3 linked regions of the Cricetulus griseus genome follow. The protein of the gene in region 3 purifies or fractionates together with the protein of the main gene of each other region. This does not show direct contact. Links are inferred from orthologs where the notes say so. Each region holds a gene or a part of one and is shown on either strand. Other genes may lie near its edges. The genes, in order: Dhx9, Ddx17 and Ewsr1.

What was found.
Region 1: the proteins of Ewsr1 (region 3) and Dhx9 purify together in Homo sapiens (affinity purification with mass spectrometry; 3 studies listed by BioGRID, with this or other methods). This does not show direct contact. The link is inferred for Cricetulus griseus from reciprocal best matches to the Homo sapiens genes EWSR1 and DHX9.
Region 2: the proteins of Ewsr1 (region 3) and Ddx17 purify together in Homo sapiens (affinity purification with mass spectrometry; 3 studies listed by BioGRID, with this or other methods). This does not show direct contact. The link is inferred for Cricetulus griseus from reciprocal best matches to the Homo sapiens genes EWSR1 and DDX17.

The regions. Positions count from the first base shown.
Region 1 is NC_048598.1:38,204,726-38,208,376, forward strand, and holds part of Dhx9 (ATP-dependent RNA helicase A), read left to right. Parts: coding exon 1-5; intron 6-1,878; coding exon 1,879-2,092; intron 2,093-2,212; coding exon 2,213-2,307; intron 2,308-2,553; coding exon 2,554-2,627; intron 2,628-3,651. UniProt on the Homo sapiens protein: Multifunctional ATP-dependent nucleic acid helicase that unwinds DNA and RNA in a 3' to 5' direction and that plays important roles in many processes, such as DNA replication, transcriptional activation, post-transcriptional RNA regulation, mRNA translation and RNA-mediated gene silencing.
Region 2 is NC_048595.1:376,711,530-376,715,180, forward strand, and holds part of Ddx17 (probable ATP-dependent RNA helicase DDX17), read right to left. Parts: coding exon 3,600-3,651; intron 2,179-3,599; coding exon 2,079-2,178; intron 1,208-2,078; coding exon 1,074-1,207; intron 511-1,073; coding exon 445-510; intron 1-444. UniProt on the Homo sapiens protein: As an RNA helicase, unwinds RNA and alters RNA structures through ATP binding and hydrolysis.
Region 3 is NW_023276807.1:99,813,241-99,816,891, reverse strand, and holds part of Ewsr1 (RNA-binding protein EWS), read right to left. Parts: coding exon 3,528-3,651; intron 1,619-3,527; coding exon 1,407-1,618; intron 445-1,406; coding exon 264-444; intron 1-263. UniProt on the Homo sapiens protein: Binds to ssRNA containing the consensus sequence 5'-AGGUAA-3'. Might normally function as a transcriptional repressor. EWS-fusion-proteins (EFPS) may play a role in the tumorigenic process.

The sequences.
Region 1 (3,651 bases), on a different chromosome or scaffold from region 3:
ATGATGTAAGTCGATTCCTCAGCACATCTACAGGAATGAGGAATGTTCATTGTGAGAATATTTGGAGAAGAAAATAAGTACTTTAAAGTATAGTATTAATTGGCAATGCATTGTCCTTTAAAAATTAATTGTGATATTCTTAGGTTAATGACTATTACTACACAGGTTATATAATTTCTGGCATAAAAGTCTTAGAACGCCTTTTCTAAAGACTCAGTCCTTTGTATTGTGTTTTTGTGTATCGGAGTACTAACTTCAGGTTTTTTTTTTGGTTTTTTTTTTTGTTGTTGTTGTTTTGTTTTTTTTATCTCACTTATCTATGGCCTCCTGGTCTTTTCAGGGTACCAGTGCCTATAGCCAATGAACCTCACAGAATCTTGTCCCAACCCAATTTGCTGTTCTGGGTATTGGTTTAAGCCAGGTTTTTCCACTTGGTAGACAAGCATGTTACCATAGATGGTTTTTAGATTTATACATTTAAAAGAAAATTTACATATTTGTGATGTTTGCCAGGGAGAGAAATCAGAAGACAACTCTCAGGGAGTGTCTTCTCCATTCACACTGGGTTCTGGGGATCACATTCAAGTTGTCTAACTTGTGGCAGGTACAGTTACACTTCCTTGCCAGTTATGTTTTCGGTTGAGACAGGGTTTGACTTCCAGGAAGATTTTGAACTTGTGGTGTGGTTCTCCTTTGTACTCCCAGATACCAGTTCTGACTGATCTATATTGTGACAACCAGAAATGTAGAAGTTTGACAGGGTTTCACTGTGGCTTTGGAGCCTATCCTGGCACTCCCTCTGTAGACCAGGATGGCCTCGAATTCAAAGACATCCGCCTGCCTCTGCCTCCCGAGTGCTGGGATTAAAGGTGTGGGCCACCAACTCCTGGCCTTAGGATAAGAATTTGAATTAAGATTTTCCATATTCAAAGCTAGACTGGGTTACAAAGGGGAATATGTGAATAATTAAAACTAAGCAGGTCGGGAAGACAGTTTCTGTAGTTTTCAAAAAAAATTAGGAAACTAATTAGAAGCATCACAGAATCATACTTAAAAGTTTTAAAGGCATAAATGGCTCATACTTTTAATCTCAGGGGGTGAAAAGGTAGACCGGTCTATATTCATGGATATCAGTCTTTTTCTGAAGATTTGCTTCCAGAGACACAGGAGCTAGAGCTCAAATTACAGATGGTTATAAGCTACCTGATGTGGGTGATAAATGAACTTGGGTACTTGCATGCCCGAAATTGTTTTGTCAGACTCTGTTTTTAGAGACAGGGTTTCTCTGTACCAGCCCTGGCTGAAATTCACTACCATAGATCAGCCTGACCTTGAACACAGATCCACATGTCTGTTCTGCCAGGCTTTCTTTTGGAAGACAACCAGCTCCCAAACCATGATGTGGAGACTTAGTAAATATTAGTTAGGAATGTTTGTCTTTACCTCCTGTTTGTTTCTTACTAACTCTTAGATCTGTTTGTCTTATGCTTTCATTGGGCCTTTTTACATTTCCTTTCCTTTTCTATGTCCTATTCAGTCTGAATGGCTGGCTGACATTAGGTGTTCTCTCTTGTGCAATTTCTCCTCCTCTTCAGATTCCTATTTATTATCTTGCCTGCCTAGCTATTGGCCATTCAGTTTTTTAATTAGACCAATCAGGTGCCTTCAGGAGGCAAGGAGAGACAGTGTCATTAAATGTAACATACCTTTACACAGTTAAAGTAATATTCTACTTTATGTATTGATCTCTTAATGAAAGTATGACTCTACCCTAGAGATAAGCAATATTGCTAGATATTACTTGCCTAGAAAAACTAAGTCTAAGAGATTAGAGCTATAATAATTATGGCAAATAAACTGCTTTCCCCTTTCTTGCAGGCAAATTGCAATCTAATATGTGCTGATGAATATGGGCCAGAAACAAAGTTGAGCATGTCCCAATTGAATGAAAAGGAAACTCCTTTTGAACTCATTGAAGCTCTCCTTAAGTACATCGAAACCCTTAATGTTCCTGGAGCTGTGTTGGTCTTTTTGCCTGGCTGGAATTTGATTTATACTATGCAAAAACATTTGGAAAACAATTCACATTTTGGTATGATGATGAATATTTTTACTTTTTTCCTGGCTAATATGTTGCTGTGTTTCAATGAGTATGTGTAATGGAGAACAGTATTTTAACTTGGTCTTACTTCTTATCCTTTCTGTATTGTAGGAAGTCATCGGTATCAGATTCTACCTCTGCATTCTCAGATTCCTCGGGAGGAACAGCGTAAAGTGTTTGATCCAGTACCAGATGGAGTAACCAAGGTAAAGAAGGCGTTTCAATGAGATCAGATAAACATTCAGAGAGCTAGAATATATATAATATATATATATATATATATATATATATATAATATATATATCACTTTCTTAGCTTGAGAGACTTTTCTTTTTACTCCTGTTCCTGAAATGCCTTGTATTGTGTGGTTGAATGATTCTCTGAACATTGGTGTGTTCATAAGTGGCATGTTTTCTGTGGTGTAATTTTTCTTTTAATTTTTCTTTTTGCAGGTTATTTTGTCCACAAATATTGCTGAAACAAGCATCACCATAAATGATGTTGTTTATGTTATTGACTCCTGCAAGTAAGTTCCTAGGGAATTAGTCTTTTGAGTGTATTAGCAGCTGACAAACTTTATCAATTAACCTTTTGTTAAATTTTCTTTTTAATGAGGTTTTATGTGTGTCAAGTGTTATGTCTGTACTAGTTGTGTGCCTGGTAGCCTTGGAGGCTAGAAGAGTGTATAAGGTACCAAAGAATTGGGATTGCAGATGTGTGAGCTGCCCTGTGGTGCTGAGAACTGGTCCTCAGGTCTTCTATAATACATACCCCCACTGACCAGCCCCTAATTGTGTTTCTCTTAAGGCTATTTGACTGTAGTCCAGGATCACCTCTGACTTGAGGTTTTTCTTATTCAAGTACTGGGGTTACTGTACTGCAGCTTCCGCCATCACACCTAGACTTTAACTTACCAAGGTTTACGCTTTTATACCCACACAAATGCCATGTGTGATTTCAGAGTACAGACAGCCAAAGTTTATCACTAACTTCTGACTTCATGTCAAAGGATTTACTTATTTATTCATTAGTTGTTTCCACAATGAACCTTTTATGCTCATTTTGTATATAAATACAGCAATTACTTAGCATGAGACAAGTAGTCTACTCGAAAAACATTCCTTTAAGAAGTTAGAACACTGCAGCCTGGTATTAACGGCATCTGTCAATCTTGCTTAAATAGTGCAACCCAGCCTCAAAAACTAAAAACTTATACCTATAATTGAGCCTTGGTCTATAGGTAGAGCCCAGCAATTTTGTAGAGGGCTGTAAAGAAAGCCTGCTTAGAGCTGGCTGTTAGTATTTAGGCATTTGTACTGACCTGTCATTGGAGTTCTGACAAGATACACCCTCAGTGGATGATGCTAAGAACATCACCTGTGCCTATTCGATATGTCCCCTCTTATTAAAATGGCCCTCCCCATCTCCCACTCTCTCTTTCTCCCCCACCTCTTTTTACTCTCTCCCACTGCAACAGTCCCTGAAGGTGAGTCTCTTCCTTCCCCTTTCCCCCTTTTACAATCCTTTTCCCCTAAAAAAAAAAAAACCCT
Region 2 (3,651 bases), on a different chromosome or scaffold from region 3:
ATTCAGTGGTTAAGAGCACTGGCCCTATATCCAGAGTACTTAGGTTCAATTCCTAACAACCACACTGTATATAACAACTGTCTGTAACTCCACTTCCAGGGGATTAAATGCCCTCTTCTGGTCTCCATGGCACCAAACACTCCCCAACCCCCGGGGAAAACACCCATAAACGTTTTTTTTTTTGTTTTTTGAAGATAGGGTTTCTCTGCGCAGCTTTGGAGTCTATCCTGGCACTTGCTCTGGAGACCAGGCTGGCTTTGAACTCACAGAGATCTGCCTGCCTCTGCCTCCCAAGTGCTGGGATTAAAGGCATGCACCACCAACACCCGGCTCCATAATTTTTTTTTTAAAAAAGTAATTAAATTGGGTTTTAGGCACAGTGCCTAAAACAACTTATCATTCAATGTAGTTATTTTTAAAAATTATAAATTGTAGCACACTTACAATTGGACCATCTCCTCTTTCCAAGTATGGCTGGTGGTTTATATGAACAATCGCAGGCAGCAAATACTGAGGAGGAACAAGAATCAAAAATGTCATAAAAACCCAAGCCATTATCGTAACGATTCTAATTTAAATCAGTAATTAACAATGCCCTAATAGAAAGTGAGAAAACTAGAACATATTACCACATTCAAGTACAATGTAAACATACAGCTAAAATACTGAACATATAGTATTTTATTTTTTGGCCTTCTTGGGACAGTGTCTAACTATGTAGCTCTGGCTACCCTGGAACTTCACTGCATAGATCAAACTGGCTTCCAACTCAAAGGTCCATCTGCCTGTCTCTGCCTCCCAAGTACAGTCATTAAAGGTGTGCCCCACCATGCCCAGCTTTCACACAGTATTTTAACTGTGAGTCTAAGAACTGAGAAAATGTGAGCTGGGTATGATAGCTTACAACTTTAATCCCAGCCCTTGGGAGGCAGTAGGGACAGGCAGTTCTCTGGTTGGAGCTACCCGGTGAAACCCTATGGGGGGATGGGGGCGGGCAACATGGGACCAGAGAAAATGTAAGAAAACTAGGCTAATAAAGTAAGTTACTACAATGTCAAAGACTTGGTACCTACCGCCAATGTCTTCCCAGAACCAGTCTGTGCAATGCCAACCATATCCCGGCCACTAAGAGCCAAAGGAAATCCCTGGCACTGAATGGGAGTTGGTTCTGTAAAATGCTGATCCATCAGCACATCCATCACATACTCTGAAAAAAAGTGAATGCATTATTACTTTTACTAGCAAAACTAAGGACACTCATGAAGTCTTAAAAGTAGCAGTTAAGACTAGCAGTGGTGACACATACCTTTGGTCTTGAAATCCAAAAAAGTGGCAGTTACTTAATTTAAGACTTACTTGAATTTATCAAAAACTCAATGTCTTGTCAGTTCACTACTACCTTTGAGAACTACCATCCTAATTTAGCTAACAGCACAGGCCCAAGAGTCACTTACTGTTCCCAAAGTTCATACTATATCATAGAAGCAGTATTTGGCTGCTGTGTAAAACACCAAGGGCAAAATACCAGTGTACGTATTGGCATTAAAAGAAATGCAGAAACTGGGTAGTGGTGAAGCACACCAGCATTTGGGAGGCAGAGACAGGTGATCTCTTTTGAGTTCAAAGCCAGAGCTGTTACACAGAGAAACCCTGTCTCAAAAACAAAACAAAACAAGCCCAAAGCTGAGATGGCTCAGCTGTCAATAGTTCTTGCAGAATGAGTTTGTGAAGATCGGAGGAGAGCTTGGTGGAGCGGGCTTTCTCCTTTCTTGTTTATATGGGTTCCAAAGTCAGGACTTTCACCAATTGAGCCATTCTCATTCACACACACCCCACCCCCACCCCATTGGTTTCTCTGTGTAGCCCTGGATGTCCTGGAACTCACTCTGTAGACCAGGCTGGCCTCAAACTCAGGAGATCTGCCTGCTAAGTGCTAGAATTAAAGGTGTGAGCAATCACCGTCTGTCTACTACTATCTTTCCTTTATAAAAGGTTTCTTTTTGTGTTTCAACAAAATCCCAAGCCTTTCAAAACCTTCAAGCAACCTACCACTTAATGTAGGATTAAAGAACACTTACGTGGGAAATTAGCATGATGGAAGGCAAAGACAGGTTTTGGACAAACATCTCCCCCTCTCACTGTAATCTCTTTCTTTCGCCGCAGCTCATCAACTTCATACTATTGGGGGGGGGGGGGAAGAAAGACAATAAAAGCTCTTTTCAATTTAAAAGCTTTATTATCACACAATGATAAATATGAATACTTTTTACACAAGTTCAAGTTTGTGATGCACATGAGCAAAAGGCTCCATTTTCCATAGGAGAAAAACCTCTCAAGAGTAATTCCTAGCCAGGATAGGTAGTACTGTGTAATCCCAGTACAGCAGCAGAAGGATCAGCTCAAGTTCAAAGCTAACCATATCTACAAAACAATTCCAGACCAGTCAGGGTTACTTAGTGAGACAGTTTACTACAAACAGCTAACTTCTACTTAAAACTAGGAAGAGAATATGTGGAACTTGGGTCCAAATGCTCTTTCCATCATATAATTTTTCTGGACTAGCAATGATTTTCTGGGTAGAATACACTATCAGGTGTTAAAAGCACAAAGTTAATTTATTTTAAAAACTCATTTTATGAGGGTGTAGCTCAATGGTAGAGTTTAAGCTTTACAAGCACGTGGTGCTAGGTTTGAGCTCAGCACCGCTAAAAGAAAATTAGCTCAATGATTGATAACTTGCCTTTATGAACAAAGGTCAGGGTTTGACTGAAGAATATCACAAACCAAGTATGCCTACCCGTGCCTGAAAGTAACCCTGGCATTCATAAGCTGAAGTAGCAGGATAGCAAGTTAAAGGCCAGCCTAGAACTACATGGTGAGACCATACCACAAATAGAATAGTTTTAGCACATAAGAATCAAAACAAAATCCAAAGGTAAGCCAGCCACAGTGGTGTTTTTTAATCCCAGCATTCAGATGCAGGTGGATCTGAGTCTGGGGCCAGCTTGGCTACATAGTAGGTTCCAGGCCAGAGCTACAAATCAAGATCCTGTCTCAAAAAAAAAAAAAAAAAAAGAAAAGAAAAAGAAAACAAAACAACAACAAAAAACATAAACAAAAAACTTTAAAATACATTAAAATGAGCCGAGTGGTGGTGGCAACCAACTACCTTTCTTCCCATGGCTTGGGAGGCAGAGGCAGGAGACCTACAGAGTGAGTTGTTCCATCCAGGATAACAGTGACTATACAGAGAAACCATGTCTCAAAGAAGCAACAAGATAACAAACAAAAAACACAACACTGCCAGGCAGTGGTGGTGCACACCTTTAATCTCAGCACTTGGGGGGGGAAGAGGCAGGAAGATCTCATTAAGTACAAGGCCAGCCTGGTCTACAAAGTGAGTTCCAGGACAGCTAGGGCTGTTACACAGAGGAGCCCCCCCCCAATACAATACATGACAAAAAACAAACAAAAAACAAAAACACCACACCCCAAAGAGAAAACAAAAGACCTACAACATATTAAAAAGATCTGCCCTAATCTAAAATAAAATACACAAGCTGCTTTACACACCCCTACTCACCACCCCCCCTTCTTACCGGAGTCAATCTTGCTACTTCTGGATGTTCCACATAAAAATTCTTCTCAAAC
Region 3 (3,651 bases):
CACCTCTGAACACCATGAAGGGGACTGAAAGCTCTAGTTTCAAAGCCATTCTTTGCTCACCCCAACCCAACAAAGGCTACTGGCAGGGAAAAAAGCAAACTGCCACTTATATGACATTTCCATGTTTTAGAAGATAGCTTGACCTCAACAGATTGTCCATGGAAATGTGGAATAAATTTCTTATGTCTTTCAGTCCCTTCTTCCCATTGAAAATCCTATGGATGAAGCAAAATTAGGTAAAAGGAGAAAAGGTTTGCTCTTACCCCATTCCACCGCGTCCTCCTCCCCGCCCACCTCTGCTCATGCCTCCACGATCAAATCCCCCTCTTCCCCTGCCCCGGTTATCAGGGCCACTCATGCTCCGGTTCTCTCCTGGTCCGGAAAATCCTCCAGACTCCTGCCCATAAACACCCATGCTACTGGGGTGGTCCTGTCGGAATGAACCTGAGGAAAGAGTCACATCTGTAAGCCATGGACCACATTTACACTACTGCCTGACATCCTTTCTCTTGGAATCATGAAGTTCTCAACTGTAAGCGACTGTGTATGTACTAAGCTGAAGGCTGCCTTAAAGAACAATTGGTTCATCAGGGCTAACACAGCCTCGTATAGCCAGACTATAATAAACTACTTCCAAAGGGAAAAGATGCCCTGGAAAAAATACATTCATAAGTTTGTGTGTCCAGGATGTCCCCAAAAGCAGTTTCTTTGCCCTACCTTCCAGAAACAAAAGTAGACCCAGGTTTTCTAAATCTCTGACATGCTAAGGGCTGAGATATAGCAAGGAGCCTTAGTCATTCCAGTTCAAAAAAAAAAAAAGCACACAGATGAAATAAAAAAGGACAGCCAGGGTTACACAGAGAAACCCTGCCCCCCAAACCAAACCAAACCAACCAACCAAAAAGCAAAAATTGAGGCAGAAATTAAATAGTAAACTAATATACTTCAGGGGTTTTAGTTACTTCTCTAATTTACTTATATGTAAATATAAGCACTGGGGCTTCATGGCAGAACTTATGCTAAGACCCTGGGCTCAATCCCCAGCAGAAAACAAAAATCAGTTCTACCCCCATCAACTGTAAAAGTTTTAAAAATACCCCCAAACAGTTGTCTGTAACAACTTACTCCCTCTGCTTAATGGATTCACACAAAATCAAAGCACAGAGTTTTTACTTGGCTATCAGAAACCACAGTAGCCCTCAATAGGTCCTAAAGAATGCCAGCCCTATCCACTGCCGAGTACCCACCCCATTGACTGAATCCCCTACTGGGGCATTCAGACTGTTGTCCAGGATGTTATGCCTCATACTTGTATCCTGGAAGCAAACAGTGGTAACAAGCCCTCCCCGTTTTCAGACTCTCCAAGCACAACCACTAATACTTGGTTATCTCTCTTAGCAACTCACTCTGCTGCCCGTAGCTGCTGCTCTGTTGACTATATTGACTTGGAGCCTGGTTGTAGGATCCAGTCTGAGGGGGGTAACTAGTGGGAGGCTGCTGTCCATAGCTGCTTTGTTGACCATAGCTACTCTGCTGTCCATAGCTGCTCGGCTGTCCATAGGTGTTCTGCTGAGAGTAACTGCTCTGATCGTAACTAGTCGGCTGTGAAGAGGAGTAGCTGAAAGGGAAAAAAAACAAACATGTTTTCAGAAGGAAAAAAAGCACATCATTTCACCCAAGACCCCCAAATACTAGACATTCATGGGTATCGTAACAGCCACTTTCTTTTTTCTATCATTGAGAGGGGTCTCACTATTTGTAGCCCAGGCTGTTCTTTCATCTGCACACAACTCTCTTGCCCTAGCTTCCTGAGTGCTGGATTAAAGGCATACATCACTGTATCTGGCCAAGGCACCATTTTTGTATTTATAATAACAAAGCTTTAAATGGAAGAGAGGAAAAAAAAAAAAACCCGCATGTATACTCAGAGCTGCAGTTTAGAGCTCCCATTTAAAATGTTTATTTTCAACTATGTTTAAGTAAATCCAGGAATTCAGATGGACAGAATATGTACACGTGCACTTAGAGACAACTAATACAGTGAAAAATGACACTGAAAGGACAAGTGAGGTGTTTACTTCCAAGAATGTCTTCCTTTCTTTTTGCAGCACCAAGGGTCCAAACTAGACCTTCACACACTATCAAGTGTTCTACTCCAGTCATCTAATAAGTTAAGTGATGACTGATTTTCTGAGGCATGGCTATTGGTAATACAGTGCGCACATATATGTCACTCCCCAAATGACAGTTTTTCTTTCAGACTCAAAATGGCTTTGCTAATGTTTCAAACTTTCAAACATCCTTAGAAATCTAGGAATAAGACAAGACAAGGAAATGTTAGAATGCTGTATAAAAGATGCTAGGTTTCTGTGAAACTATCTAGCAGGTAATCTAAGTATCTACATAAACTATTAAAAATAAAACTTAGCTGGGTGGTGGGGGTGCATGCCTTTAATCCCAGCACTCAGAAGGCAGAGGCAGGTGGATCTCTGAGTTCAAGGCCAGCTTGATCTACAGAGCAAATTCCAGAAGAGCCAGGGCTACACAGAGAAAGGCTGTCTAGGAAAAAATAAAAGCAAAAACCAAAATAAAGACTTTCAATGAACCATAAATATGTGCAACTAAACTATTTGTTATACCTCTCCACAAATGTTAAAACCCAACAGGTATGGGTCTGCTCTCCAAGGACAGTTCCCTGTCCACTTTTTTTTTTTTTTTTTTGGAAGGGGGGACTGGTTTTGAGACAGGGTTTCTCTGTAGCTTTGGAGGCTGTCCTAGAACTAGCTCTTGTAGACCAGGCTGGACTAAAACTCACAGAGATCCGCCTGCCTCTGCCTCCCAAGTGCTGGGATTAAAGGTGTGGGCCACCCACGCAAGGCCAACCCTGACCACTTTTGTTTCTAGTTACAAGCAATGTGTTAAACCATTAAACAGATAATCAGGAACTATTTTAGCAAATTAAACTAACCTTTAAAGACACAACCCTGTCAACTGGTACTTACTTCAAATGAGAAAATCTGCAGTATCCCTTATTTTAAAGAAACCAAAATTGGACATTGTAACTATGATGGCTAATTTAAGACAGAATATGAAGAACAACAGAGCTTGAGCTGGAGTAGTTCAGAGGTAGAGGATCTGCCTAGTAATGAACAAAACAAAACCCTGGATTCCCCAGGCACTGCAATGGGTGGTAGGGAGGAAAGTCTTGTCCCTACTTTACCCATGGTGATTGCATTTGAGAAGACAGTTTCTGTGGTTCTGTGAAGATGGTGTCAAACACTCCTTTTTCTTATACTTCTAATTACAGGAGCAAAAATAAGTTTTGGTCAGTATTTAGACAGCTCCATGACACTACTATGGAAATCTAAGACTGAGATCTGAATATTAACTATATATATGGTCAAGAATAGCTATGGGAGAGTCAGAAAACAAATCTTACCCAAGGAAGCCAATGCTAGCTGGTCAACAACCCAAAACCAAATCCCTGTCTTGTTATATTACTCACTGGCCACAAAGGAGAGACTGACCTGGTAGGAGGATAGGATGGAGGCGCGGTGACTGGCTGCATGGGGTAGCTCCCAGGTACCTGGGGGTAACTGTAGTTACTCTGTCCATATCCTAGGCTGGGCTGGTTATAACCCCCCGTGCTAG